Drosophila melanogaster: one gene and its partners. The protein of the gene in region 1 interacts with the protein of each later gene in a pairwise test. Each region holds a gene or a part of one and is shown in the gene's direction. Other genes may lie near its edges. The genes, in order: CG8191, CG17364 and CG5151.

Region 1 (10,145 bases):
TCATCAGCGCCCTGATTAGCATAATTCAGAAGACGAACGAGGACAACGCAAACTTCGGTGCGGGCCAGGCGGGTGGCAAGCCAGAGTGGCTGAAGCTGCGTGTGGACGCTGCCTTTGGCTACAAGAGCAACATATTCCTGATTAACCGATTGTACGAGGGCAGTGCCCGGAGCATCAGCATCAATCCGCAGGCGGCACAGATGATAGTGCGCAACTGTCTGGACCTGCTGTTCGTGCTGGCCAAGCACTATCCGTCCAGCTTTGTGCCCTTTAATCGCGATGTGAAGGCCAGGCGTATATTGAGTGCGGTATTTGGCATGCCATCGCCCACCGCCGGATCAGGTGGAGGCGCAGGATCTGGATCTGCAGCGTCTGGCGGCTTGACAGGCTACGATGACGTGCCACCAGGTGGAACTCTGGATTTCCGCTCACGATTCTGTCGCTATCAGGTGGTTAATCGGCTACGTAGCATATTCGACGATCATCCTGCCCCGAAACCATCAGTGCCCTTGGATGAAGCACCCTCCACGTCGAAGGCGGCGGCAGCGAAGGCAGCTGCCACGGCCAAAGTGTCCACTGCTGGGAGCCAGAATAAGCACTCGGTGCCGTACCAGACTAACGCCAAGAACTTCTGGGATGTTGTGCTAAACATCGATCAACAGACACAAGTGCGATTGGCCAATGTGGCCCAGTTTCCGCTTACCTCGCAACCGGCGTGGGAATGGCAGCCGAATACAGCGGATTTTCTCTCGTTCAGCGAATCACCATTCGGCCAGTTGCTGGAAATGCTTCCCTACAAGGTTATATGCCGATCGCCCCATCTTACCGATATGCTTGTCAAGCTGCTCGCCTCGCTCAGCACAGAGCTGCCAAAGGAGGAGGAGCTGTTGCCGCTCAGCGATCAAATGCCCCCACTGGTACCCATTGGTCCGGTGCAGAGAGCGGGAGCGGCGGCGGCAGCGGCACATCCCCCACCACCACAACCACCAGCCGAGAATACAGCAACAGCAACAGAAATTGGTGACGGTCTGGCCGCCAACATTGAGGAGCAGGCTTCTCCGGCCAGTGGTAATCCTGCATCCGGTGATAGCAATGCGGGAGCGAAGCGCACCCAGCTGCCAACTTTAAGTGTGGCCCTGCCGGTGACGCCATCGAAACCGCGTCGAAAGATCTATTCGAAGAACTTTTCGCAGCTTCAGCTGGTCATTGAGGTGCTGACGCACCAGTGCGGCACCACCGAGGGCCTGGACAACGTAGCCAAGCTAATTGTGAATCTAACGCAGTGCTCGCAGGCATCTAGTGCCATTTTCATTCAGTACTTGACCGCTGCGATATTGGGATTGGCCGAGGAGGTACGTCAAGCGATACAGATGCTGCTCAACGAGATTCGCATGTATAACATTCATCAAGGCGGGGCCGGCACCACTTCACAGGCGGCGTCCACTTCCGGGGCAGCTGCAGCAACAGCATCATACGTACCCACAGTATCCGGAGCCAGTCTCTTGCCAAACTTGGCCGTGCACGAGGGCATAATGCAGGATCGCTTCACCGCCGAGCACGTGATCATCTCGGCACCAAAGAATGCCAAGCCCACCTGCGAGTTGCAGTTGCCGTCGATGAAGAAACTCATGTCCAACTCGTCCGCCCAGCCGTACTTCCTGCGAACCTTGAAGATCTTCATGCAGGTACGCGACATGTATGAGGCGCAGAACGGTTTGTCCACTGGCGGTGGAGTCGCTTGTGGTGCCGGCGACAACGACGACGATATCATTGATATTGAGGGTGATGGTGGTGCGTCCGGCGGCAGCAGTTCAGATATGGCTCCCGGGTCTGCCAGCACAATATCTCCACCGCCACCCATGGAAACCAATCAGATCGCACAAGATGGCGATGACGACGAGGAGGACGACGATGAGGCCAGATCTTTCCCAGGAGTTGGCAATCATGCAGTGGCAAGCGCTAGCAAGTCGACCAAGCCTACTCTGAGTCAGATCCTCTGCTTGGACGTGTTGTGGAACACGCTCAGCGAGTGCCTAGTGGCATTGGAGGAGTCCAAGGACGAGTTTGCCGTCCTGGTGCTGCAACCGACCGTGGAGGCCTTCTTCCTCATCCACGCCTCGCATCGCGGTGCGTCCAAGAAGTCGGGTCGCAGCTTTATGCCTAACGCTGCGGGCTTTGGACTGCGTGCAGCCGCCGGCGCCGGTGCGATCGGAGGACTGGGAGCAGCCGCACCATCTGCCCAGGAGTACAGTCCCTTTATGGACGATGTCAGCAGCGCCAACACGCCCAGTTCTGCTAGTTTCGATGGTGAGTTTAGGAAATATGCAAAACATTCTCCATATAATCAATCTGCTACATTTTTAATAACCTAATCACCAGATGAGCCGCGAATGCAAGATGCATCCACGAATACGCCACTTGTGACCAACCCCTCGACCAGCACAGCGATGAGCGCGCACGAGGCGCAGCTGAGGCAGGACCGGCAAAAATTCCTACAATTCGCCGAGAAGCACCGCACCGTGCTTAACCAGATACTGCGCCAGTCACCAACTCATCTCTCCGACGGACCGTTTGCCGTGCTTGTGGACCACACACGCATTCTTGACTTTGATGTCAAGCGCAAGTACTTCCAGACGGAGCTGGAGCGGCTGGACGAGGGCATACGGCGTGAGGAGCACACGGTCAGTGTTCGTCGCGTAACCGTGTTTGAGGATTCGTTCCGTGTCCTGTACCGTCTGGGTCCGGAGGAGTGGAAGAACCGCTTCTACATCGTCTTTGAGGGTAAGTTTTCGAACAATAGAAATGAATAACTAGCGATGTTCATACTTGCGATCTATCTGCCTTACAGATGAGGAAGGCCAGGACGCTGGCGGCCTGTTGCGCGAGTGGTATGTGATCATATCGCGCGAGATCTTTAATCCGATGTATGCCTTGTTCTGCGTATCGCCGGGCGATCGCGTCACCTACATGATAAATCCCTCCAGCCATGCTAACCCCAATCACCTGAGCTACTTCAAGTTTGTCGGCCGCGTAATTGGTAAGTCTCTTAGATACTCCTTCTATATCAAGCGTTCTATAATCCCTTCGATCTTATTTAATAGCCAAGGCTGTGCACGACAACAAGTTGCTGGAGTGCTACTTCACTCGCTCATTTTACAAGCACATCCTGGGCAAGCAGGTAAAGCACACGGACATGGAGTCGCAGGACTACGAGTTCTACAAGGGTCTCGACTATCTGATGAAGAACGACATCTCCACCTTGGGCTACGAGCTGACCTTCTCCACCGAGGTGCAGGAGTTCGGTGTCACCCAAATCCGGGATCTCAAGCCAAACGGACGCGACACCGCCGTGACCGAGGAGAACAAGTTTGAGTATGTGCAGCTTGTGTGCCAGCTCAAGATGAGCGGCTCCATTCGACAGCAGTAAGTACACATATATTTATATTCCATGCTATGGATTTTAAATCGTGCTACTCCCCACAACAGATTGGACGCATTCCTTGAAGGCTTCTACGACATTATTCCAAAGCATTTAATTTCGATATTCAACGAACAGGAACTGGAACTTCTCATATCCGGCCTGCCGGATATTGACATTGAAGATCTAAAGGCGAACACCGAGTACCACAAGTACACCTCTAAATCGGCGCAGGTGAGACCATGATTGTGCATCTTCCTCCATCCTCCATCCCTCTCTAAACCATGTATTTTTTACCCATTCATTAGATTCAATGGTTCTGGCGTGCACTGCGTAGCTTTGACCAAGCGGACCGCGCCAAGTTCCTGCAATTCGTCACTGGCACATCGAAAGTGCCGCTGCAGGGCTTCGGCTCGCTGGAGGGCATGAACGGGATTCAAAAGTTCCAAATCCATCGGGACGATCGATCCACTGATCGCTTGCCCTGTGCACACACCTGGTGAGTAGGGATCCACAAGTCGCATGAATTGTTTGCAATGTCATAGACCGTATTAACTTACCCATCTCTGATTGCAGCTTCAACCAACTGGATCTGCCCATGTACAAGTCATACGACAAGCTGCGGAGCTGCCTGCTGAAGGCCATACACGAGTGCTCCGAGGGCTTTGGCTTCGCCTAAGGTGCGACAACTGTGACGGCAGCTTCAAGCACCAGCCGGCAGAGCCACCAGTAACCAACAAACCATGGACGCAACACTATTCCTACAACGCCCTCAAATACACGGGTGCAACGATGAGAAATGCATAATTGATTTGAATTGAACAGAACAGAAGAGAACAGAACAGCCACTGCAAATTTGCGATAGCGGCAACAGAAACTGCATACATAAACAGTACATATAGTTATATAGTATATATAAAAATGTTGAATTAATTATTAATTTTCGCGCCTATATATATATACAATATATATTTTCTTAAATTTTCAAAAGAAAACGGAAGAAAACTAAGGAAACCTAACAAAAAAAAATATAAAATATAAAACTGATACAGACGCGAAAAGTATATTCGATTTAAAATTCTCTGCGCAACTCATCTTTTTTTTTATTAATTTTTTGGAATCTATCTCTGTCGTTTTGCACATTTTTATCAAAAGAAAAGGATTTATATAAAGAAAAAAAATACACTGACACATTTTCATTTACCCAAACGCGAAACCGAATAGAAAAGGATTAAACGTAGTTTATAGATCGCAAATGCACATAAACAGATTACACACTTGGGTTACTTGTTTACTTAAGTGAATGTACGTACCGAAGATAAAGGGAAGCAACAGAAAAAATATTTAAATGGATTAAAGTATTTTGATGTAAGAGATAAGTCCTTATGTTAATGCATTTTATGTTTACCTTTGAAATAATGAGACGCAGATGTAACTTAAAGAATGTGGAATAAAGAATAAGCTCATTTATCACAATAAATTTTCAGAAATCACTTCACATGCTCATTATAAATGCGGCTGGAAAGGATGGGTACGCCATATATATAAATAAATACATATATAAGGTCTTAATGTCGATCTCATTTAATTTGGGCGCCTTTCAATTTGAAATTCGATTCTATCGCAACGGGCAACGACAGATCGATATCTCATGCACAGCAAACCGATCGACATTATCGATTGTGACATCGAATTTTCGGACAGCTGACAGCTGCAGTCCGTATGGATTTGTTTATCCGAAAAGAACTGAGCCTATCCACGAGCAGCGTGCTTGAAGATGTGGCGCCGCACTGTCTCAAGCTACTCACATGGCTGCACGATTGTCAGGAGGAGATGCACTCCGAGCACCGCCATCTGCGACTGAGCCAATCCGTTGTGGAATCCCTGCTAAAGGCTCACCTGTACCTGTTCGAGTGCTATGATCGCTTCGGGCAATCGCTGGCCGAACGCTGCGATTGCCGTGGCTTCTTCGCTAGCTGCTCTGCATTGGTGGATCGACGGAAGTGTATTCGTGAGCTGTGTACCACCATCGTGAACACACGAAAGGGAGAAACTCATGCACCACTGCTTCATCTTTCGCATCGAACGTTGGCCGAGATTCAGCCTGCGTGGAGTGAGATCGGTGATTTGGACTGGTCGGCAATACGCCAATCGGATGCGCTTTCTTCCAGCGATTTTATCAATCCCGATCTTCAGCAGATGCGACGGCTAGTCAAGCGGATTGGCCGCTTATCCAGCCTTGAGGACATGCAGACCGCAATAAAGCGCTCCATGGAGCTGATTGAGTACCAGGTGTGGCTGCAGCTTTTTAGGGAGCCAAAGGACAGCGAAATTCACAAGGATTGCTACCTAATGCGCCACATGATCTGTGACACTTTATCGGAGGGCGGATCTACCGCTTGCACCGGCTTCCTGCACAATATCTTTCTGTTCGTATCGCAATCCGCCAATGAGATGAGATTCTGGGCCAGTATGGAGCATGTACGTCTGGCCGGCAGCCTTATTGCCTACCTAATCGACCATTGGAATCGCCACCTGCCCTACCTAGACTTGGATGAGATGCAATTGACCGCTGATGCACCAGTCACGGCTGTCTCGCAGCTGCCCGTGAACGAGGCCACATACATAACCTACCTGATGCTGGCCACCGGATCCATATGTCGCCGGCAGTTCGCCCAGCAGCTGCGTGCCCAACTACCCCCCAATTCCTGGACACATTTGCTGGAGCTGCTAAATAAAGTGGCATTCGTTTTCACTTAACTACACTACGAGTTTAATCATGTTTCGGCAAAAACTCGCAGTTGCCATCGGTCAGGCGAACCACCTTCTCGCCCTTCTCGGCCAGGATCTCCTCGATGTTGCGCTTGCCGTCCAGATCTGTGAACCAGTTCAGATTGTCGGCGATCAGGTGGTGATTGGAGCAGCCCTCGCAGGTCACGATAACAACGCCGCGTTGGTATGCCAGCTTCGAAATGGTCTTCATGTTCCGGGTCTGGCACACCTTGCAGGTGTAGATCAGCTGCATCTTGGCCTCCAGTTTCGCCAGAGGAATGCTATTCGTGGCCACCGTCTTGTCCGCATCGTCCTGGGAGCAGAGCAAAATAATTATACTTAACTTTTTTGTTATACATAATTTTAAATATTGCATTCCATTTATAATATTTTAAATTACAAATGTAAATAACATTATTTAATATCAATTGGGTAGTTTATTTGTATTTACAACTGATTTCCAAACATACCACTGGCTTACTGCAGTGTATACTGCGGCAAATGCACGTGTAGTTGTTGCTGCTGCTAAAAACAGCTGTTTGTGTTTTGGTTGCAAAGTGATGCACTTGCAACTGCAATTGTGGACTATTTAAAGCATCAATTTGTGTTCTTCGGGAACTGGTAAGTAGTGCGCCTCTTCTCACACCTGCGCTGATTTTATAAAATTTTTTTAGGGCGGACATATCCTCGATTTTGTTGATATTATTTAACTCAATCGAAAAGTGTGAAATTCATTTAAACTTAGAGATGGCACCTCCTTTCATTTCAAAACTAGTCGCGAGTCACGATTTTAAAAAGTTACTATAGCTGTCACTGGTGCTGATAAAATTTGCTGTAACTCACAGACATTAAAACCAATTGTTAATATAAATTCTACTGTGAAATATTAAGTTAAGTTATTAATGAAGTCCACCTGGACTCTGGGGCTTAAAAATAACTTATTTTTCAAACAGGTAGTAACCGTTTCTCCGCTATCCCGTGACACTGCCAATCGATGACATCTGTTAATGCCATCTCACGTGATACTATCGACAGTACTATCGACCATCTGGTAGTAAGCACTCATATTTTCGAATTTTTTTTGTGGAAATTCTCGAGTCAAACAAATTATATAAAGGGCACGAACCGATGGCGACACGTGTGGTGGCAACGGCGACAGTGCGGGCGGTGAAAGGCCGGAAGTTAATCCCGACGCGGGCCGCTCTGACTCTGGTAAGGAAACCAAAACCTGGTGAAATCGGCGCATGCTGCTGCTGATGAAGTAACAGTCCCCTTCGATCTGATGATTCTGATCTCCCCCAATCCTTTTCAGACACCCGCGGCGGTGCTACGCATCAAGACGCTTCTGCAGGACAAGCCGGACATGGTGAGTGACTGCTGACAAGTTGTCATCGAACCAAGGCTACACTTTAGTGGGCATTCTATCGCCTTCCACGATTGAGATCTTGATAATCTCGCCTAGCTCTTTAAAGGTTCCCGTGCATGTTATTTAAGTTTTAGCACTGGTTGCATGGAGTATAGGAAGTTCGCAAGAGGGCTTCTTCAAGCATTATATTTGACAATAGGCTTTTTCCTCAGTCAGTCATATATTTTAGCGCAAATTATTAGCTATAAATATAAGCCATGCTAACTAATTCGGCCTGCGTTAATCAGCTAGATTTTCCAAATTTTGACCCGACCAAATTTTGATGAGCATGTTTATCTTGTTGTTAATCATTTAGTTTTTAAGTGATTAAATTCTTTGAATTGAGACAGACTTATTAGAATACCGAGTTCTTTGTCTTTGGTCAATAAACAAGGCTGCCTATAAATTAGCCACACAGTTAATGACAGAAATTCGATGTTGTTTCTGCCACAGGTTGGCCTAAAGGTGGGCGTACGGCAGCGAGGATGCAATGGTCTGTCCTACACGCTGGACTATGCCAGCCAAAAAGGTAAGCCACTCTGGACAGAATGTTGTTCGGTGGAGATCTAATGCTGCGTTCTGTGTCGATTTTTGCCAGCAGACAAGTTGGATGAGGAGGTGGTCCAGGATGGCGTCAAGGTCTTCATCGACAAGAAAGCGCAGTTGTCGCTGCTGGGTAAGTTCATACCAGCTTAGCATAGCATTGGACAAGCCAGCTAATACAGAGTATAATTCGCTTGCAGGTACCGAGATGGACTTTGTGGAATCGAAGCTGTCCAGCGAGTTCGTGTTTAACAATCCGAACATTAAGGGCACATGCGGCTGCGGCGAATCGTTCAGCATGTAAACCGATGGAGATCCGGAGGAGATCCGCCGGCACCCGCCTCGCAGACAGACCTAAATTAACTAAGTTAAATGCAGTACGCGGCCCGACCTTGTATCTCATTACGTTGTTGGCAAAAGCACCGCATCCTTTGTAAATTTTACTTCGCAAACGAATTCTAAATATTAAGTTGTGTTCTATAGTTAAATTTTAGTTGTAGCGCTAGGTAAGTGACGCACCCGCTTCCTTGCCGCAGGCTGGCAGTTTGTCCTCTTTAGCCCTAGTTCAATATATAGACAAGGAATGTTCTAGAAAACCCATGTGCAAATCAAGTTTATTATTGAAAAAATACTTCGACTACGTGCATGTTACCGCTGATTGATACCCTGGAAACCGTACTCCTCGTAGTCGTCTTGCGTGTAAACAAACTCTTCAAAGTTGGGGCTGGTCGCAACCTCCTTGCCGCCGTACCACGCGTACCGCACCGGATCCTCGGGACAGATGAGTGACACTTCAAGATCGTCGGGCACCAGGGCACGTAAATCGCGCTTTAGGCGCGGCAGAAATCCCGGAAACTGGGCACTGCCGCCCACAATAAGGATGTTGAGCAGGAGTTCGCGGTGCGCTTCCCAGGGGCAAGCCTTCAGACAATCGGCCACCGCTTCCGGAATGCCCACCTGTTGCACACCAATGTCCGAGGGATTGAAGAGCAGCTCGGGCACGGTGAAACGTTCATTGCACAGCGACACCATTTGCTGTTGCTCCTCATCCTCGCGCGGCTTTCCGGGAACACGAACATAGCCCCGTTTGACGGTGGTGAAGTCTGGAAGGACATAATCAACTGTGACTTCGCGTCGCTTCTCCTCCGAATAATGCACCTGCATCGCCTGCTTGAAGTCCTCCGCCACAAAGCAGACATCTTCCTTGATCTGGTTAACTACATGACTCTCGTCCATGACGTTTAGGTGGCGATAAGAGATTAGCTCCTTTAGCTGGTTGGTCAGCGCCTTCCCGCCCATGTCGATGCGTCGTATGCCTTGGAGAACGCGCCGTCCCAGCACAAAAGGAACAACGTGGGTGAAACTGTAGCCTACATCGATGATGATGCAGTTAAGCGATTCCATTGTAGTCCGCTCCTCGCTGTCAGCCACATAGTTAAAGGCAGCCAGATCGGCAGCAGTGGTCTTGTACACCCCATCAACCTTGTACTCCTCAAACAGAATCTCCAGCGTTGCCTCCTGGATGCTCTGGAAGTTCATCTGCGGCTCAGTGATGACAATATTGCGGTTCTCCAGCGAACAACCAATGCCGTCCTTGCTGAATATGTAATCCCACACCGTTTTCTGTGTGTGCCAGTTGAGCAGGTAGCCGCGCTGGAACGCCAGAATGTAATAGAGCGCCGATGTGTCCCGGCATTCATCTATCTGATTTCCCACAAAAGCGCGTCGCCGCTCGCTCTTTGCTTTCATGATGCAGTTGGGCACCACATGGGGCTCATCCTGATTGGCCAGGCCCACTTTCGCCGTATGCGCTCCGTTGTCCAACACCACCACAGCGTTGGCCATCCTTTTCGTCCTCAACGTAGATCTATACCATTTTTCGGAAGAGGACAACAAACAACACTTCTTCTGTTCTAGTGCTGTCGATTAATTTGTTCAATCTATCGAGATTTTTAAAATCGTTATTTTTGGTGTTTTAACGGTCTACATCAAATTAAATAAGGAAAA
Region 2 (11,094 bases), on another chromosome or scaffold:
AAGCGACGGACGAGCAGCCAAGAAACAAAAAGAAATAAGTTTAAATAGTTAAGATTTGTTAAAGGTATTTTCATATATTGAATGTCCATATAATAATTTCTTGTTTGAAATCGACAAAGCTAGTAATCGCAACCAAAGTGAGAAAGCTGCTTAAAAACTGTTGTGAATCGATCCGATTATCATTTCTTTATTATCTTATTGTCAATATGAGAACATGAAATTGTTTTTAAAACTACACTCCATATGTACTTTCATTATTAGTCGCTAACTTGTTTCTACTTTAAAAATATATCGAACTTATTTTTAAAACGATGATACAAGATGATTAATTACTATTTTAGTTGGCTACATTTTGCCAAGCGTTGCCAAGGACTATTTAAGAGCTTTTCGTCTGGTCCTTGTGGATCCTTTGGTGTGGGTGCGCCTGTGCATGGTCAACTGGGCCTTGCCGGTGAAACTTTTTTGGCAGTCGGTGCATTTGAAGGGCCGCCTCTTATCCACCTCGTTGCGAGTCTCCTTCTTCGGCTGCTTATCGTTCCGGTCCCCATCGTCCTCCTCCTCCTCCTCCTCGCTCTTGATGCGATCCGTAAAATCCCAATCCTCGGCCTCCAGGAGATCGCATGTCTCCTTGTCGCTTTGCTCCCTCTTCACGCGCGCCACGTATTCCATGGTCCTTGTGTAGCGTCTCCTGAATCTCAAGGCCTCACGCAATTTAATAAGGCACGGTTCGCAAATTTTCAGCGGAAAGCCGTCCCCGGTATCCACTGGATATGCGCTGCAGATATTCAGCAAATCAGCCGGCGTGGGCTCCGGTTCCTTGGTTCGCTGTAGATCGTCGCTCAGTCTGTCCCCCAAGCTCTTGTTGTCGTAGATGTCTAGCAGGTCCTTCGGCTCGTCCATACACACCCGGCACATCTTCACCAATTCATCCATGGCTTCGTTGCTTCCTTCGATTCCAAGCAAATACAATTCAAAAAGAATAACTAAACTGTATCGGATGACCATCAAGCCAAAACAGAAAAATACCAATTGGCGCAATTCCAGGGATGCAACATCTATGCCAATAAATATGTATTTAAATTTAGACTTATTTGTTGTTATATCAAATTAACTTATAAATATATTATTTAAAATGAACAATTAATCTAAAATGAAATGTAGTAGCAGTGAAAATTGTAGAATCAGTTGAAAGTATTCTTCATGTTATATTTTTAATTTATTTTAATTGAAAAACTGTAAAACGGGTTTAATGTAAAAATTCAATGCTTTGCTTGCAAGTTTTTTAAATAAGAAGGTATACTTATTTTTAGAATCATTATTCAAAGTAAAGATTCTTAAAACTAATTATATGTTTAATTTAATATTGATGAAATTAAATGATTAAAATTTTTAAAAATGTAGCGAGTTTTTACTGTAGAAATGATTTCCACTACAAATGGCAAAGACCCCGATTCGCATAAAACTGTTGCAACTTGCGCAAAGTTCAACTGGTAACTGGTCATTGTCTTCTAGGCTTATCGGCTTATCGGCATGGAATTAACTTAAGAAACACCATGGACTGCGGAGATAATGACCCAAGCTAAACTTAGCTCCATTTCCAGCCAAGCGGAGCAGTGATAAGATTCAAAAGACTTGGATTACAAAAGAGTTTATGAAATGTATTGCATATTTAGCGCCCTGTGGGCGTAAAAATAAAAAGAGTACACAAAATAAGAAATATGTAGGCGGGAGCGGGACAATCTACATCTCCACATAAGTGGGCATGGTCATAACACCGCAATTGTTCTTCTTGGCCGACATCAGGATGTAGCCATCGTTGCCCCAGTAGGTGGACCACGAGTTCTTCACCAGCCAGTAGTCCTCTCCATTGATCGAGCCATAGCCCACGGCCAAGACAGCATGATCCAGTCCATCTACATCGTTCTTGCACGTTGGCTCATAGTAAACTCCGTGCGAGTAGAAGCTAAATGTCTTGGGAGAAGCATCAATGGCCACCGACAGAGGACCGTGCTTGAGCAGAGCCAGCTTGAAGGCATTTGGATCGTTGGAGGTCACATTGACGAATCCCTTAATAGGTGCCACCAGCGTCACGTTGTTGACGTGACAGTAGCCATCCTGGCCCAGATAGGGACCGTACTCCTCCTCCGTGGGCACTCCGCCGGACTGCAGCATCCACTGGTACACGCGGAAATCCTCGCCACCATCGCAGCCATTGTTGCCATAGGCCCACGAGCAGTCAATCAACGCCTGCTGGGAAAGCCGGACCAGATTGCCGCCATTCTTCAGGAAGAAGGCGCCCTCCAGGTGACCAATGGTGCCAAATGACCAGCACGATCCGCACACAGATTGATCTAAGGGTAGTTTACGTTTTAAGCAATTCAATATTATCAAATTCATCTAAGTAAGTACTTAGGGAATGAATGAACCCACCTTTCACCGGAGTGACAGCGCCGTATAGCCGCCAGTCGTACTGGTCGGGAATCTCGTCCTTGTACTTGGGCACATCATAGGGGAACGGTTTGCCGGTGTTGTAAATGCCCGATGATTTGTATCCTCGTCGTGCCTTCAACTCCTCTTCGGTCTTGTCGGCCAAGTGATTAACGGCCAGCGTGTAGGTGAGTTTGGCCCTGTTCTTTGAGTGGATGTAGCGCAGGTTCTGACGGAAGATGTTCTTGCGATGCTCGTGTTCCGTGTCGCTGTGATAAGCAACTCCGTGCTTGCGCTTGAAATGGTGGAAGGCCTTGTCCACATGCTCATCGGTTCCGGATATAAACTCCTGCATGGGATTGAAGGTGGCATAGTGACCGGTGCCGGGTCCGGGGAATCCGACGCACTGCAGGCTGTCATCGATCTCGAACACCTCGTTGGGAATATCATCGTGCTCGTAGCTGTCATAGTCCAAGTAGTAATGATCGTAGTGCGATCCCAGCAGGGTGTTATAGCCCCTCATCTCGTAGCGCACGGGAATGGGCATTCGGCTGGAGGGATAATGCGGCGACTTCTTGTACCGCACCCACAGCGTATAGATGTTCTTCTTTTGGCCAATTGTCGACTCCAGGCGGAACTTGTCGCACGTGTAGCCCAAAAAGGATTCGGTGCCCACCAGGCTGAAAGGTTTCGCATCGGGCAGGATGCTCTGAATATCGACAGCCTGGTCGGCGGTGCCATTCACCTGCAGACAGGTTAGCTTGTTGTTCTCCGTCTTGGTGGTAATCGGTGCCAGCTTCAGCAGGGTTCCGTACTGACCCTCGCCAGCCAGTTGGTATGTCTTCACCATTCCGCCGTAGTAATCGATGCGGGATCGCCTCGTATTCTTGTCATACCAGGCGTAGAAGGGTTCCGCAATCTCGGCGTACGGAATGTACAGGGTTCCTTTGACTATGTAGTTTGGATCCCATTTCGGCGGATTCGTGGCATTAGCTATTGTCGTTGGCGAAAGTGTGGAGAGATTCAGATGAGAAATGAGCGGGAACTTGACAATAAGAAACGGTAAAGGGCAGCCATCGAGGTTTAAGCTCACGCCATTGCTTATATACTTCGTATATATACAGCTGCGGTCAAAATAGCAGTACATGCCCTTTTACGTTTATTTGATCTAATTTAAAAGTTTAATAAAAACATGTTCTTTTTACTTTTTAAATATACTTCATGGCAAAAAAAATGATGATAAGCTAAAGTTTCAATCCTAAAACGATGACCTCGATTGTTTTAATATATGCATGTGTGCATTAGTTTAAAGCGCACACAAACGCAGAAACAATTACTCTTTGTTTGGCTAAACACTTTAGCATTCTAACGTCTATAACTCACCTGAGAAAGCCAAGCCTGCGAGCAGGGCTAAAGCTAAAAACACTTGCATTCTTGAGAATTCACCAGAGAATTGTCTGGAATATTAATTGATCCCGACTCTAGTATACTACCTATCTTTTCGAAGAATTAAACTGTTCTGCCGGCTCAATAGTCCGATTGCTTTAACAACAACTTTCTATGGGTGAGGAGATAACGCCGCCGTGAAAAACATCGGTATTAATCGGTTGAAGAGCTTTCTAGTTTGTAATAAGAGCTTATCAAAGTTCTTTGCTTTTTGTCATGGTAGTATTTTATTCTACAAATTATTCGCAATTCTATGTAATCCGTTAACATTTTCTTTTATTTAAGAATTTCTTTATTAGAAGAAATATCTTTTCTGTTCACTTACTGAAGAATTGCTTCTTTATTTTAATAAAATATCATGTGCTTCGATTTTGTAACTTAAGAGGTTTAGTTTGATTTTGCAATATTATTTTAAATATCGATAGCAATTACAATTTTTATTGCGTGCACAGGGTGCACATGATTATACAGATATTTTATACATCTAGTGTGACCAAAGTGCTGAGATTAAATGTTTTTTTTTTTAATTTAAAATATTGGATGCACTTCTTTCTGGCTAAGCTTTCAATAAAAAATAATCGAAAAAACCGCGAATGATCTAATATTCAAGATTAAAATAGAAAAATTTGTCAGAAAAAAATAAAACCGTGTCTAGGGATCAAAATCGGGATTGGAAAAATTCTATTTTTAAATTCGTTAAACAGCTGACAGTCAGGAGGTATAGATAGTCACTCATCTGTCTCATCACAACGACTCTCTCTCGGCTCTCTCTTCCCTTCTCTCTGTGTCTCAGCGATATAAAGTCTCACCCTCTCTTCGGAACTTGAACCTACTCCAAGTTTTGCTGCATTGCGCCCGCTCTCAAACCGAACCGATAGTCGGACAGCACGGGATCCCGAAAGGACCCCGAGCAGATGTCAAGCTACCACCGAAGGAGCAGCATCGTCGTCGTTGTCGTCCTCGCCCACACATCGTTCTTTACCGTTACAGCTGTGGGTTCGGCTCAGTACCGTTAAGTTCGCCAATCGCACAAGTTCGATTCCCAAATCGCATGGTTTTTTTATACCAGCAAGAACTAGACAACACACAGATATCTGGTAATGTTGTAAGACGTGGATTAATGCAAACTGCAAACCGTACAAGTGCGCCGTACAAGAAAACGCAATTAAAAGTGCATTAAAAATTAAACGAAAAGTGCTTGTGTGTGCGTGCCAGTGAGGCAAAAAGTTTTGCCTGCGCCGAATTGGCCAAAGTTAAATGTTTTAAACGCCAAGTTAGGCGAATTATGTGAAAGTTTTAACGCGATAGGCGAAAACAAAATGTTTCTGTAATTGGCGGCGGAGGAAAAGCAGTCCGAAAAAGGTAGCAACGTTGCTGAAAATGAAATCAAACTTTGATTTATCGCTGATTGGTTCCTGATTGGCTGTTTTGGCAGGCCTTTTGAATCCCCACACAAAAACAAGAACTCCCAGACGAACATACATATACATGATCCATCCACATACATAGGTACTACAATACAATACATATGTATGTACATAGCTGTTGGCGTTTATATGTATGTGTTTTTGGTTCAAATCTGTATAGTATTATGGGCATAGAGGAGCATTTCCTGCCCTTGTCACAGTTGTTACATTTTCTCTATTCCGCCGCTCACCAGCTCACACAGTCGGTCATCAAAAAGTCAACAAAAACAATATAAATTATGTTCGTGGAAAAGCACAAGCAGCAGGATGCTAGAAGACCTTGAATGCCTCTTAAGGTGTAATTGGATATTGACGTGGAACGAAAATTGCATTTTGAGCAAGGAATAAGAGCTTCTTTGTAAAAGGATTGTTTGTAATATGAAGCATATTTGTTTTGGCCTTTTAGTGGAATGAATGTGATTCAATATAAAAATACTTTTGACTTCGTTTTCTCTCAATTTTTAACAAGAAATAGTTAACCATTTAGTGTAGATAATCAAAATCCTATGTGCGAAACTAGAGAATCATTTATTTCTCCCTAAAAGAGAAATATGTAAATAGTAACGTCGTATCCATTTAAAAAAAGACTAGTAAATTTAATTTTTAAATAACATTTACCTAAATTCCTGGAACCAAACTGAAAGGCAAAACTTTCTTATTTATGAGCCCTTTTCAAAAGTTTGCCAAAAAACATTTTTTAATTTTCTCACGTTTTAATCTCTCGCAAAACTGGCGAATAGTTCGTTTTGGTAGCATACTTTTACGGGTCACGGAGTCCGTAACTTTGAATTTGTGGGAATCAAAATCTGTAAGGCCCAGCTGACTTGGGCCCCCAGTGAAAGACAAAAGCCAAACACACACACACAAACACTCATAGGCGCGCGCGCGTGTGTGTGTGTAACCAAAAAATTATAAAACTTTTATTACCTTAGAGCAGGACACGTTCCGAAGGGAAAAACGGAAAGTTCTAAAATATATTGCATATACGTATACACGTGCATTTGTGTGCTGCTCTCTCTCTCTCTCGCTCTGAATGTGTGCGAATGTTTTTGTGTGAATGTGATTTGTGTGCGTCTGCGGGTCCTCTTTCGCTGTGTGTAACCTACATTTTAAACGGCATCGGCATCGGCGACACATAAGAAGCCAAAAGCCGTGGCCGAAACCAAGTGGGCGGGAGTCTGGGGGCGGTGGGGCATTTCGGCGTATGTAAATTTGCCTTTATCAGTGCCTAAAAGTAGGACCCCCATACACACACGCACACGAGTGCAGTTTCCGTAAAGCCCTATGTACCGCTAGAAACAACGGTACTCTCTAGGGGCAGGCGCACCGCTCTTCCGCTCTCTCCGACTTGCTCCTCTCAGAGAGGAAGAGAGGCAGAGAGCGGGCCAAGCAAGCTTCGGCGATGCAGAATGCAGGATGATGTTTGCGTTCGTTGCTTCCGTTACCGTTACTGTAACGGTGCCCCTCTCCCTTCGGAGAGGTTCTGAGGTATATCCTAGTACACACACACACACTCACACACAGGAGCAGCAGGATGTGCGTTCATTCACATTGGCATTGCAAGTGTGGGCTCTCAAAAAATAAGCTATTTTGGTCTACATGGAGTGAAAAAGGGTTACAAATTCAAAAAGGAATGCGAATATAAAAATGTATGTACATATAAAATTTTGATTTTATGTTCTCTTATTAATTTGTATTATTAAATATGAAAATATTATTTTGAAATACAGAATAATAAGGTCAATTAAAATAAATAAATGTGATCCTTAAATACACATTACGAAATCAATAATCTAACTAGATTCACACCGAAAACGTAGCGAACATTTTTGATTCTGAATGAAATGAAATTTGTATTCGCAACACCCTTTTTAACAGTGTATGCAATGGCCACTAAGCCCATGCCAATCCCTTTCGTTCTCGACTGCCCTTGTTATTGGACTTGCATTTCCGCTATGGCGCTACTTGCCCCAGCCGGTTGAAATTTATATGCAAAGTGCTGGAAGGGATTGCATTATGCACATTTTAATGGTTTGCCGAGACATAAAAATATCTCGCACTTAAATAAATTGCTCTGCTCTTTGCTAGTTACTCGCTCACTTTCTACGAGTCCTTTGCCCCTATGCCGCCCCTTGTGCTGCTGACAAAAACGCCATCGCTTATAAACGTGTCGGTAATTACATAAACATTCTGCCCACCGTCGGGTTAGAAATATGCACGTATTTTTGTTTGCCAACTAAATGCCTTGTTAGAGAAAATTTCTTTGGAGTGAGCAAACTTTTAGTTTCCCTGCCCTCAGCCACTTTTTGCCGCACCGAAGGAATGGAAAATAAATTGCCCTCGAGAAAATGCAAATTGTTTTTCAAATTATACATCCACAAGGAGGAAGTTTATGTCTTTGTTGGGCGTTTAAGATTTTTATCAAAAAGTGAGCAATGTGAAAAATTTTCAAAAGTTTGATTTATGTGCTAAATATTGCAAAAGATATCAACTTAGAAGAGATATAACTACACTCATGTATAGATTGGTTAGTATAGAACTATTTAGCTAGTAAAGAACGATAAAAATATGTATGTGAAGGAAATGCTCTAAATATTTATCCATATTTCACAAACATGGACAAGATTGTCTCATAATTGAAAAGATTGTTTGCGAGACCTATGTAAATAAATGGTCGTCATTTTTAAATTTCCAATTCATTTAGCCCCAGTCTGTGCCCCATCTGATTTGCATTGCAAAACATGTAAATGTCAAAAGCAGTATCTAAAATGTGACGATCTGTTCCTCAAAGGTGCCCATCAACGTCAGCAGCCACACCTACAATCTGCATATATCGGGCACTTGCCATCATCATCACATCATTGTGAGTGCTAACCAAAGCAACACCACCGACCGCCATCATCCTGGCCGTTATCATCCTCGGAGGCAAACACATATTCCATTATAATTCCCGCCGCTGTGTCCCACTTCATATCCCACTTCTGGCTATTTTTATGCCATTTCTGCATTGTTCATTGTTTAGCGCACATTATCGCATTTTCCTCTTAAGGCATCAGCCACAGATATTACAGCAGCCTTATCCTCCGCTCCCACCTCCCCTCTGATTCCACGTCAGCCCATCGCCTACAATTGCCAATGGTGTTAGTGTGGTGTAATACCCTGTAAAAGCTTAGCTAGTTTGGCGGATCCTGAAATAGGATACTTATAACATTCAGGATCAAAGCTGTTTTATTATTATAATAAAAAAAGGATTTTAACAAAATAAAATTATATATAAGAATGTATAAATCAAATCAAAGTTATCCACAATTTAATGCAACTTTTAGACATTTGCGTAGATAACACCAAATCTAGTAGATACATAGAATTTTCGATAATTTGCAACCATTTCCTGCTTGATATTGTTATTGACTGGTCATCCCAACCTAAGATTCCCGGCGAATTCACAAATCGGTTCATACCCTGGTGATCTGGTGGTGGGGATGTAGGGTGGAAACTAAAACGATGATTCAGATTGTTGCCACACTTGGCTCACTAAGCGGCCCAGCGGGTGCCACAAGAGGAAACATCGGTGTGTGAGTGTGGTTGTGTCTATGGATGTGTGCTTTGCCGCCACCAGCACACTGGAAGATTGGATCTCTCTCGGGCAAACACAAACACTTGGATGCGGAGTGGCTTTCATCTGGGCCGCAGTGCACTGGATACACGGGATTTCTGTTGGCAGTGCCACTGCCAGAATGTCGGCATTGAAATCGAAAACAATGGTCCCATTGTGGTGGCCGATGGCGCTACTCAGGCTCCTCCCTTTTCGTTATCCTTTCGCCATTAAACAATTGTCGCCTGTGCGCATCAGTAATTAAGTGTCCCTGTGCATTTATGTCTACTTGTATGAGGGCATAATTACTATTTATAGATGCTATTGGCTTACGTCTAAATAGAAACACAATGCGCCAAAGCGCTGGTAAATGTAAATGTGGGCGCCTAAAAATATGCAGCAAAATGCAGCTGACTTTGGTAATACTACGCCACTAGAACGATTTATACTAATCTGGCTGCAGAGACTTGTATATAAACCACAACAGTTTATTAAATGAATGTTTCGTTCAAAAAATTTTTTTCCTTTTAAGGAATACTTGATTTTTAGTTGGCTTTCGATTTTAAGTATTCAGAAACGATTTGTAATGATTAGTTTCTCTCCGAAGAAAGATCATTTAAGCCCTCAAATACAAAATTGTTGTATATTTTGGATTAATAATGTATATTTTTGGTAAATTACAAAACGTCTCCTTATCTTTGTATTTTTATATGGATTTTTTGTACAGAAAACAACATATGAAATATTCCCAGACTAATGTAGATTCTACAAGATGTCTCTTGGTCCTCTTAAAAGTTTGATGTAAAAACTTTCAGTGACTATGGGGAATTTATCCTTTTTTCGAACTGCTTAGCCTGTGCGTTTGCGTTTGTTGGCGGCAGTATTCGCCTTCTTCTTGGCTGCCACAGGTGTCTTCTTCTTTTGGGCAACAGGTGTTTGCTTCTTGGCAGACGCGGCTGCCGCTACTTTGCGTTTGGGAGCAGCGGTGGTGGTGCGCCTGCGCCGTCTAGCTCTGCGTGCAGCAGTTTTCTTGGCTTTTTCTGCCTTGGTTGGAGTTGAACTGGAGGTCGTTTCGGCGGAGGAACCATCTCCAGAAGTTTCTGAAGAACTACCTGTATCGGAAGCTTCGCCGGAGGAACTGTCCTCGGAGGTACTAGCATCATCTTCTGAGCTACTGGATGCACCAACACCACTTTCCGAACTGGACTCTACATCAGAGTCGTCATAGTAGTCATCACCATAGTCGTAATAATCGTAATAGTCATCGTCAGTGTCATCAGCACCCGTTACGAAGGCAACCAATATGGCCAGGCTTAAAACCAACAGCAGCCTCATCTTTTTTTTTTTGTATCTATAGAGTCAACGAACAGATAGGTAACCTTAGGTATAAACGTCTGAGTTTAAAAGTCTTCAACACTGGGTATTTATAGTTTTTTCTCCTCTGAAGAAATTTATAAATATATAAAGCTTTTTTACATTATTTTTCTATGTACATCTGTAGAATGCAAATATTGGTTTTTTAATTCATCGTCTTAATTTTCGGTGGCTTAGAGCACCTGTGTGTGCTGCTTGTATTTGTTTAACATTTTTCGATTGCTATATGTTGAAATTATGAAATTATATTTTGTGTTAGAGCACGAAAAAGTAATATAAACTCTTTTATATTAAAAGAGCCAAGGTCACAAATGTCTTATCTGGATTTTTGAACAATTTGTCTATGGTTTACGCGTTAGGCGACCTGCTAGTAGTTTTATAGAAAAAATAGATATGACATTAAACGTCTTTAAAATTATATAATTTTTCAAGTATATGCGGTGTATGTTTTTGTTTATCAAAAATATATTTATTTACAAATGAGGGAAAAAACACGTGCCGATAAAAACTTATGTAGAATGTTTTCTTGTCTTTTGAACATTGGGTGAAATAGTTAAATATATTTCAAAATTTCTGTGATATTCAAGTTTTGTACAAAATTCATAATAATAAACACCCATACCCAACAACCACATTCTTGGTAAATATCATTATCATTATTATATATTAATTCAAAACCTAACTTATAAACGTCATAGAAAAAAATCTTGGTAATTTTGGGAACAAATTTTTTTGGTATAATTTTTTATTTTTATAATTTGTAGCTACGAATATAATAAACTGGAT
Region 3 (10,898 bases), on another chromosome or scaffold:
TTAATAAATCGAAAATATTTGATGCTTAAGCTGGATGGTGTGTTAATAGTTTTGAAACCATGAAGTACGTCCTAAAAATTGTCGTTTCGTTGACCATTCTGTGTTTAATGATCTTAAAGCCCAGTGTAGGTATTTTATTTAATATTTTGAGTTTATAAAATACATTAATATACACAGAACCCAGTCGTCTTCAAGCTGACAAATGTCCATTGCGGCAGCTATAATAAAACCTGGATTAGAATCAATCAATGCCGATTGAAGGCGATCAATCGCCATAGGACTGTGTTCAATTTCAATGCCACCTTCCTATATCCAACTAAAAGTATTACTGTTCACTACCAAACGTTTAAAAGGGAGAACGGCTATAGGCCTTGGCTCGTTAATACTCAAATCGATGGATGTCGATTTCTGCGAAAGCCCTACGATGCTCTAGGTATTTTACTTTTTAATATTTACAGGAACTTCACCAATATCAATCACACCTGTCCGCTGCAAGTGAGTCTGTGTGGCATACACTTATCTATATATTATAATATTAATATTAATATTATCAAGGGTGACATGATCGTAAGGAATATGTACTTAACCACGGATGTTATGCGACTTCCCCTGCCCACGGGTGATTATTTACTGGCAATCGATTGGATATTTTATGGAAAGCCTCAATTTGCCACAAATGTTAGTTTTCAATTTGTTGAGGACATATTGTGATCTGATATCATTTTCTAAATACCTTAAAATTTAAATGAATTGAGGTCCTTGATTTATATTGCGGCAATGAAAAATTAATAAAATGTTTGGTTTCTTTCATTGATAATCCCATGATGGAAATCTATATAACCATTAAGTGATGCTAGGGATTGTGGTCTTTAAGGTAACGCGTGCAATAACCCGTCATTAGCAGGCTTTTGGTAATAGACCTGTCGCCTTGCCGGCCAACTCTAAAAGCCATCCTCAGCATATGTTAGACATTTATGTCTTGCTTTTCCACACCAGCCAATGGACAAGCGAGACCACCACACTGAGAGAAAATCGCTTACAACTTGGCAAAATAAAAGTGTATATTAAGCTAGAATTATAAAGCTTTCATAGTTATGAAGAAAAAACTAAAAAATCAAATAATAATTAAATATAACTTAAATAATGATTACAAAACGATTCAAAAAAAACTACGTATACGTGATATCTAAATTATTCTTATTCACATCAAAAGTTTAGCAGAAATATGTAGTTTTCATTCGATTAAGTTTACAAAGATCCCTTAAATGCATAGTTATTAAAATTTCACTTGACCTCATTTCGCTCAGTGCACTGATGCGCCGACCCAACCCCAGAAAATCTCGACCGCAGCTAGCAAACGTTGGCGTTGGCCCTCGGCGACTATTATTACTACATTTACGACCCTGCAGTCTGCTGCTGCTCCTGCTCCTTCTACTACTCCACTCCTCGTCTCCAGATGGAGCTGCTCACTCCGCTCCAGCTGGAGCAGCATCCCCGCCAGCGGTGTCCATAAAAATGGCATTGTAATGGGACTTTGGAGGCGTCGCCATCGTTGCCACAGCAGAGTCACTGATTGACACTTTTTATGTTTCAGCAGCGGCTGCTGCTGCCGGCAAAAGTTCAATGAGTTATGATTCGAGACAGGGCTCTTTGTATTGGCCATTGTTCCATCTTTAGCCAGTCAATGGAGGGCTTAATGAGCTGGCTGTCTTTCCGAACGGAGAAAGGCGGCAGGAAATTCATTAGTGCGGTGAAACCTTTTTGGGGTATGTGTACCTGTTGCATCCGTTGATAAATCGAACTTGATGCACGGAAGAAAATGCACTTGTATCTATATAAATATATATATGGAATTTCAGTTGGTAATCAATTTTAAGTTAAGTATTTCATTTGTCTTAATATATATAATTAAAACCCCAATTTCGGGTTAGGTATTTCATTATATTCATTACCACTCAAATTTCAAAAGAAATAGGGGTAGATATAAAACCAAAGTTCCCCGTTTTTTTCCGTGTGCAAACTTATCGATGCTCTTCATTAATTGTGGCAAATTTTGAATGAACCGAGTGAAGAGTCGTGTGTTTCGCAATCATCATCTGTATCTGTATCTGCAGCAGTATCTGTATCTGTATCTGAATCTGAATCTGAACCGATGCCCGACTAGACTCATTGTCTGGGCAGCATGTGAGGCGATGCGATTTGTGTGTGAGATGTGCCAACGCCATTTGCCTTTGTTTTTTACTTTTCTTGTTACACATATATAGAATATATATATTCTGCCACGGCAGGCTGACTGGCGGTGTCTAAAAATATCAAAAGCAGACCCATCGCATCACAACATCGGTGCAAGTGAAGTAAGTGCAAACTGGTCTGCGATGTGTCTTTTGTTGTCTCGCCACAGTCTGCTTATCACAATCGCAGCAGGCCAAAACAGCAGCAACTGAAATCTGAAAGAGCTGAGCTATATAGGCATCACAAACGCGATCGCAATCACATTCAGAATGGGAATCGGTCGGTTGTCGCCCTGCCAACGGACGCAATGAGTCAAAAGTGGTCTTTTTTGCATTAGCCACAACAATAGCAAGTTAATGACTAACACTCGTGAATGCAGATTAATGCACATATGTGGGCGATACCCTAGGCAAACCCTATAAAAGACCAGGCCGCCTCGTTTGGTTTCCTAGAAGTTGGCTAATTTGATAGGCAGCAAGTGTCTGTGGTGATCAGATAGATAGATTAGATCAGATTATCAGAGTGAAGAGTGAAAGTTTGCTAAGAAATTATTAGCAAGGAGCGGAAACATTAAAGCTGTTCTATAAGTGATTTATTTGTTTAATTTATAATATTTCCAGTTAAACGTATTCTGTTCAAGCAACTTTAATTGCGATACTCGCGGCAAAGTTTAATCGATCGCCGTGGGGCATGAGGTAATGGTGTAAAGGCTGTTCGCTAGCTCATATTACGTATACGACACGTGCACCGCCTCAGCGCTGGCTGACAATTAAAAAAGCATACATATGCATCCATTTTATTTATTTAATTGCCACAATTTATTTATAAATGCAGACAGACAGCTCACAGCCTTGGCACGATCACTTGATCGCATCGATCCCATCGATTCTATGTGATCCAATGCGATCGAATCGATCAATCCGATGAATCGAACGGCCAGGTGGCACAAAGCAGCCGCCAAAAAGTCAACAGAAAGCAAATTGCCACCGCGAATAGCCAACCTGAGACCCACAAATCGTCTTTCCCCCACATCAAAATAAAAAAAAATATATATAAAAAAAAAGTGAGAAAAAAATGGGGAAGATACGTCAGCACATATTAGATTATCAACATAAACAAAAATGTTCCGTCTCGTCGTGTGTGTACACAATTCTTTTATTTTTTTTTAATGTATTTTTCCCCAACTTTTTTTTTGGGAATATTCATGGTAGGAAAAAATGTACTTCTTTGTATGCCAAAAAAAGCAAACACAGACGAGAGACGCGACCAAGTGCCAGTTTTGGGTGAATTGCGGGTTTTTTTTACTTCGCTCGGTTGGGTTATAGGTGCTGCCGATGGTGCAACCGGTGTGGTGAGGTGGTCGAGGGGGCGGCGGTGCAGGACGGGTGGGCGTTTCTCCTAGTAACCGCAGGTAGGTCGCCAGACATCGGCATACGTGAGAGACCCCGGCCAGACAATGTTAATTAGCACTTCATGATAAGTTGTCTCTATTGTTGCCGTCGTCGACTGTCGACAGTCGGCTGAAAAGTGCGCAGCGGGGGTGCTGTAGTTGCAGGGGCGGAACATGCCATTCCAGGGTGTTAAATGGTGGTGGGGGGGGGGGGGTGGATTATCAAAAGGGGGCTTGGGGGTTGAGGCGACTACGAGCGACACGACACATTCGATTAACAACAACCGGCTAGCCAGCAACAAAATAACAAATCCGCAGACATGCTAATATATTTGAAGTTTCTATTTTAAAACAAAGCAACAATGTCTGGCTCACCAATATGGAAATCAACTATCAGATCTAGACAATATGTGCTACCCATTGCTGTTTCGATTGTAGACTGTTGAGTATATATGATACAAATACTGCTAGTAAGCAAAATGAGTCATTTAAAAACGGTCTGCAATTTGATGCACATACCTCATTAAATTTAGAAGCAAGATTATAAAATATGCAAACCAATATTCTATCAATCAAATATCGAATACCGTTATGCAATAGAGCATACAAACTTTACGATACCCATTACTGAAATTACAAATTCATTACCTCTAGGTATTATAGGCCTATGGGATTTCTGCGTAATTACTTCACTCACATCAACTAATTAAAATTGAATCAACAAATCGCAAACGGGTCAAATTGTTTAAATTTAAATTTATTACTTTGTGATAGGGCATTCAAATGATATACCCCACTATCACCCAGTAATGGGAGCGCAAAAAAAAGGTCGAAACGCGTATCATCAAAGGAATGTCACATGTGAATCATATCATTAAAAATAAATCCAAACAAAAATAAAATAAAGGCGAAATAAAGCTGCATAAATAAATTTAATTAACGTGCGGTTGCCGGCGCCCCTTACCCCCGCAGCTCCACCACCCCGACCGCCCGTCTGACACTTTAATTTCTTGGACTTTGCACGGCGGCTCAAGTCGGCAAACAGAAAAACCGCAAAAAAATCGAGTGACAATGAGCTAACCGAAATTTAGCTTAACAACAACAAAAAAAAGCGAAATAAATATTTATACGCAAATAAAAGCCTGGCAAGTGGAGTAAGATGAAAAAGTGAATACAAATTGTGTGGGGCATAATATGAGACGAAATGAGAGGGTATAATTTATAACCCATAAACGAAGCTACTCAAGAATATATGTCAAATTGAATAATTAAAAATGTTAACCGTTTTAACAGTTGCTAGCACCACTGAATTCGAAAATAAACAATTAATTGATACTGAATATAAATACAAAAAATTATATAAAAATGAATAAAGCTTTTATAATTGTTATTTTTCTCAAATTATAAAAAGGAAACTAATAAAAAACTAAAACGATGCATTTATAATAATATGAAATGATGTATTATACAAATATTTAATCGTCAGCTGAAAATAAATGTAATATTTATATAGAGAAAAGGTTTTATAAAAACGGGAAATCCCTGGTCAAGTTTCTCGACTATCTCATACCCGTTAATCAGCTTGAGGTAGTGTACGAGTAACGGGTATAAAAACATATCATACTAAAATACATTTGTGCATCGAACAACAAAAGAGTTGGGTTAATTTTTGTTAGAAACTTCCAATTACCTCGTTCTCTTTGCGCCTACTCTTTTTCACTCTTCTGCGCTCTCTTGCGCGCTCTGCCACCCCAAAAACTTGTTTCGTTGTCATCGTTTCGTTCGAGTCCGATTTGTATTTGTATTTGCACCAAAGCGCCAAAAACTCTCCGACGCTGCGGACGTGTGTGTTTTTTCGTTCGCCGCCAAAAAAGCAACAAAAATGCCAGCGATCGGCCACAACAACAACAGCAGAATGGATAATGTTTGTGTGTCGTGCTTGTGATTGTGCCTTAGTTTATTGGGAACCAAGTGATTGATTCGAAACTAAATAAATAAATAAGTAACTGGAGGTTTAGCAACAACACGGCGGCGTTACGTCATGGCTGTCGCCATTGTTGTTGTTGCGTTGGCATACTTTCGATGCTAGTGTATGAGGGAAAACAATTGTTTTGCGCTTTTCGCCTGCGATAATTATTAAAATAAAACCAAGAGAGAGAGAGAGAGCGCGATTGAGAGAGAGGCAACTTTGTTCCGCTGCTACCCGTTCCGCTCTCGCTCTGTGGTGAAGGTGAAACGTGCGAAATCGCAATGGAATATCGAGTCGGAGTCGTGTGTTTTTCCGCTTACGCTCATTGAAACTTTGCGTGCTTTTCGGTTAAGTTCGTTCCGTGCGCGCTGGAAATAAATTAAACTCGAGCAGAAAACACCCAGAAAAGCAGTAGGAAACGCCAACAAAAAAATATGACAACAAGCCAGAGTTCTTACACTGAGCAAGCAGCAGCCAAACAAAGTGAAGCAAAATAAGCAGCAGCAAATAATAAATAAATACACAAAGCCAACATATTCAACTCACACACACACACACATAGCCAGCGTTCCTGTACTCAAAAGCATTCCTAATCGCCGCAGAAAAAATAACAACAAGCATCAGAAAGCAGAAATAACATCAACAAAAAATTCAACAAAAATAACAGCAAATAAACAAATTAAAGAAAATTAAGTTAAAATCGAAATTGAAACCATGTATATAAGTGTTGCTTAGATAAATTCGACGAAAAAGTGTCACAAAAAGTGTCAAGTTAAAACAAATATTAGGAAATTTATGCCTCCAACATAGCGCAATTCCTAAATCAATTGTAATCTAAAAAAAAAATAGTTAAAGCCAATACACAAGTAAAAATCGAAATAAGAGCGAGTATCACGTCGATATAAGGTGAGCGAAGCACTTTTTTATTGGGAAAAACCTTTTTTTTAAGCCGATTAGCCATAAAAGCACAACGTAATTGAACTTTGGAGCTGCAAAAGTGTGCCCAATATTCGATAGCCGCACTGTGTGCGCTATCTAATTATAAGCTATTCATATTCCATCCAAAATCTGCTCTCTATAAATCGCATTCCGGCGACTTCCTGTCAACACTCACACACCAGCGCAAAAACAAAGCGAAAAACAATAAAAAATCGTAGGAAGAGCTACGAAATCCAGTCAAAACCCGTCCACTGTCCACATAAATGCAATAAATTTTGAAATCAGCGCTGGTATTTTTCACTATTTCCAACCAGACGACAGATATCACACCCCCTCGCCAATGATTTCCGTCCCCAAAAGACAGGAATACGAAAAAAGAGTATTGTGGCACGTATAACATTTGTTTTAAAGCGGTTTTGAATGCTTTTAAGACCCTTAATATTTTTTGTGGCTGTCATAAAGCATCTTGTAATAAATTAGCCGCGGGACCGGAAAATACATATATTTAGTTATTGTTTGTTGGTCAGGCAGACAGACGTAACAAATATTTGGTTATTTAACTTGGGGGGGCTTGGGGTGTGCCTTTGGCAGACTTTTGGGGCTTTGGACTAATGCCGTTTCATATTTAATTAATAATCCAAAAAGACTTAAATAAATTGGACGTTAATATTTGGGCCTATAAAAACTGTCTGTTCTAATATCTATATTCATTAAAATTTAAAAAAAATTCTAAATGTTAATCAAAACAGTTCATTTTGCTTACATTAATGTAATGTTAATATTTACAGAAGTCATCAAGTTTCTTTCAAATGAATATGGCACTATGAAACGCCCATACTCTGTTCTCCATTCTTACTAAAAAAAAAACAAACGAAAAAACTCCAGTTTAATTAGAAAGAACGCCATAAAATCGGGATTTTCTCACCTGAAACACAAAGCGCCTGACTTAGCTTTGATTAGATCTCGCAAAGACGGTTTTTTGGCTGAGAAAAAAGCTAAGAACTTCCCAGAAGAGCTTTATCTTTTCTGCTCTATCGGAGCCGCAAGGTTCTGGCTTTTCTTTGGCTCTGGCTCCGACTTTGGCTTTGACTATGATGGTTATTGCTATGGCTATATGGCTGTGAAGACAAAAGGCCCGGGCCATGGAGTTTTGATAGAGGAGGAACCAGAACCGAACGAAAACCAAGTCAAAGTCGCGTGTAGTATCTCCCCTCTCTATCTAGGTGGCTCGCCCCCCTCTCGCTCTCTCTCTCTCTCTCTGCCGCACAGCAGTAGGCAAATCACTTCCGTTCAATGAACCCATGCGTAAGCCAGCTCTTCATCAGCTCTTTTGCTTTTGCTCTTGCCTTTTGCTTTTCCTTTGCTATTGCTATTGCCATTGCCTCTTGGCTATGCCACACACATACACGCAAACACACACGCTCGCTCGCACACCACACACACCAACAGTCAGGAACACACACAGACCCTCACATGTGGCTCAGTCTCAGTTTTTTTCTCTTCGCCTTTTACATACAGATGTGGTGAAGTCAATAGAAGCGCCTAACTTTAATTTTAACTAGAATAAGGGAAAAAAAAAACAAAAATTACTACGAAACTGGCTCTCAATGGAAGCAAATGTGTAATCAGAACAAAGTTATGTTTTAGAATGTCAATACTCTAATGTTAAAAAGTACCCTTATATTTTGCCATTATGTTCAGTGCGAGTTACAAATTCATTGAAATCGATCATAAAGTCTTTTCCCCGACTGTAGGAAATTCCCACAGTCACACACACGTGCACGTAAAAGAGTTCCCATTGCTTTGTCGTCTTTGGCTTACCTTTACACATCCACATGGCCTCCCACCTTGGGTTTTCCCCGCACCCATTTGCAATTTTACCCCCCGAGAGCATAAGAATGTTACGCATACGCCTCGTATGTTGTCACGGAAAATTTGACTCACTTGGCCGGCACATTCCAAACATCTTAACGGTTGGCCATTAAAATGGTCATTATGTTTTGACTTACCTCCCCCAGTCGTTTACAAAAATGCCAAAAATTTTCGCTTAACCGAAACGAAAACTAAAACAAAAGTGTTTCGTTAAGAGTTCATGAGAAAATCGCAAAGCAGGCGACAGTGGCTCGATTGACCAGAAAATTAATCGAAAGCTAATTAAACAGCTGACGATATGGACACACACACACACAAAGGCACATGTACATATATAGGGCTAAATCAAGGTCTTTTGTTTTTGCCATATCACCGTCCCTGTCGCGCAATATATCGCTCATACGCCCCATGGCCGCTTATCAAGCGTCTGGTCTGGTTCTTCTGCCTGCTTCTGCGTCGCTTCTTTGGCTTCTGAACGGTGTGAGAAAAGGTGGAGCCAGGCAGCCGGTCTTATCACCAGAGTTCTCGTCTCTTCTCGCTTTTCTCTATATTTTTGTTTTTGCGTTTCGTATAGAGGTCCCAACACACAGGCGCACAAAAAAAAAAAAAAAAAAAAAAAAAAACAGAGATACCCATAGAACCCATGGACTTGAGCACCTGTCCAACGGGGCCGACGACGTCAACAGCACTTCCCGCGCCACCCACATGACCACCACGACGGAATCAGCAGCATTAAACATCGGAACAGCAGTAACACCACACACTCGAAAAAATTGAACCCATGGAATTCCGGAAGGGAGCTCTTAGATTTTAATAGCATTTTGGTATTTCCACAGAATTTCATATTAGAAAATAGGACTTGCAGATAACTGTGATTCTGTTGTATTTACACACAGATACTACTATAAAGATACATGTAAGTGTATCTAATAAGTCCACCTTAGCTTTTGAAATATATTCTAATTTCTGCGAGTGCACCACCAACACACACACAGCAAGCGAGTATTGAGATTAGAGAACGGACAGCAACTGACGAACGACGGGCGACAACATTCCCCAAGGTCATTAATAGTGCTGCAGTGGAGCATTCCGACTGGCGAGGTGGGTGGGATCGGGTGGGATAGCCCCGGTGCAGGCGGGCGGCGACTGATTGAGGGACCGCAGTCATTTCGATAAGGAAATCGCCAGCGAGATGACCAGCCAGATAATCACCTGTTGCGACGGCAATGCCGACTGCTCATTGATTGACCCCCAAAAAATTGGTGAAATAGTCGAGTGGTTGTGGTTATGGTTATGGCTACCAATCTCTCACTCCCTTGAGTTGATAATAAATAAAAATAAAAACACTAATTGTCGCGAGAGAAAACATTGTACGTTTTATTGAGAGCTTTAAATTAGAAACATTTTCAGAGTTCGCAGCTCAGCGAAAAAAAAATTCCGAACTACAAGGTTTTCGTTATCTTTTACAAAACATTAAACAACAATTTAAAAGTGATTCTTTTAGCATGTATTCAAAGAATTCTATATTTTCTTGGAAAGAAATCGAAGAAAAATCATATAATAAAGTGCGGATAGGAACATTACATTTTATGTCTCATTTAAGAATGTATCTTAAATCAAATTAACTAACTAACTAACCAGTTAGGCATACCCGACTCATAGTTCCCGCATTTATACCCTTTAAATTGAGCGAATCATTGGAGTTCGTAATCAAGTTTACTCACACACACACGCCGACTGCCGACTGGAAGACTCATATATAGTCATCAGTTCATTCCAATCGGAATCGGCCAGTTGTCTGGGTCGAAGTCTGAAATTTGCTGTTTTATTTCGCTTCGATTTTACTGTTTCTGCGATTGTTGTTACTACTTTTCGGATTCGTTTCTCCGCCTCCTTTTCGCACTTTTGTCGTCTTTTCCATTGTTTTCGTTTGTATATTTGTATATTTCGATCTGCGTTTCGTCTCCTTTCTTATCTGAAACTCAACTTTTTGTGATATCCGCCAGACGCCGCGATACTTTTGCGCCTGCATACATTTTCACTACAACAACGCTGGCAGCTAATAAATGCTAATTTCTGTTAGTTTCTATATAAAAAAAAAACACCAGACACACACTCATACACACACAAGACATGAAGGTTCACCGAATATCTGGAATTTGGGGGCTTTCTTTTGTCTAAAGTCTACACATTCATTCCCACCAGCTTATCAGCTTTGTTCATTCAAAAAATACGTATACAACAAATCGAGATTTGTGATTTGCAAAGGAACAACAAACACACACTATTTCCAAACTGGACAGACAAGCGGCGAAATCGCTAATCGATTGACATGCGGTCTTTGCCTGATTGTTTGAAGACGTCCCAAGAGTCCAGCTGAAAAGTCACAGATTAGGAGATTCGCAGGGCTTCGCATATGTAGAAATGAGAAGACAGCCCAGATTAGTCAACAAATATTTAAATATAGTATAGTACATTTGTACATACGTACAGGGA

Evidence for each region.
Region 2: the proteins of CG8191 (region 1) and CG17364 interact in a two-hybrid assay, tested with the Drosophila melanogaster proteins (one large-scale study listed by BioGRID).
Region 3: the proteins of CG8191 (region 1) and CG5151 interact in a two-hybrid assay, tested with the Drosophila melanogaster proteins (one large-scale study listed by BioGRID).

What each region holds. Positions count from the first base shown.
Region 1 is NC_004354.4:15,727,051-15,737,195, forward strand, and holds CG8191 (uncharacterized protein), read left to right. Parts: upstream 1-5,127; 5' UTR 5,128-5,140; coding exon 5,141-6,178; 3' UTR 6,179-6,191; coding exon of another isoform or gene 6,192-6,503; 3' UTR 6,504-6,613; downstream 6,614-10,145. Other genes in the region: HUWE1 (HECT, UBA and WWE domain containing E3 ubiquitin protein ligase 1), read left to right, coding at 1-2,307, 2,380-2,781, 2,849-3,037, 3,102-3,423, 3,487-3,652, 3,727-3,917, 3,995-4,097; CG12379 (uncharacterized protein), read right to left, coding at 6,192-6,503, 6,661-6,873; MagR (magnetic receptor), read left to right, coding at 7,319-7,402, 7,503-7,556, 8,049-8,124, 8,194-8,271, 8,339-8,442; Arp6 (Actin-related protein 6), read right to left, coding at 8,787-9,983.
Region 2 is NT_037436.4:13,987,117-13,998,210, reverse strand, and holds the start of CG17364 (uncharacterized protein), read left to right. Parts: upstream 1-4,810; 5' UTR 4,811-5,235; exon of another isoform or gene 5,236-5,382; intron 5,383-9,584; exon of another isoform or gene 9,585-9,783; coding exon of another isoform or gene 9,784-10,269; exon of another isoform or gene 10,270-10,333; intron 10,334-11,026; exon of another isoform or gene 11,027-11,094. Other genes in the region: CG17359 (uncharacterized protein), read left to right, coding at 1-48; CG17361 (uncharacterized protein), read right to left, coding at 373-1,005; CtsK1 (cathepsin K1), read right to left, coding at 1,741-2,351, 2,431-3,420, 3,811-3,859; CG9040 (uncharacterized protein), read right to left, coding at 9,784-10,269.
Region 3 is NT_037436.4:16,159,268-16,170,165, reverse strand, and holds the start of CG5151 (uncharacterized protein), read left to right. Parts: upstream 1-5,464; 5' UTR 5,465-6,497; intron 6,498-10,898. Other genes in the region: CG33796 (uncharacterized protein), read left to right, coding at 60-125, 178-495, 556-711.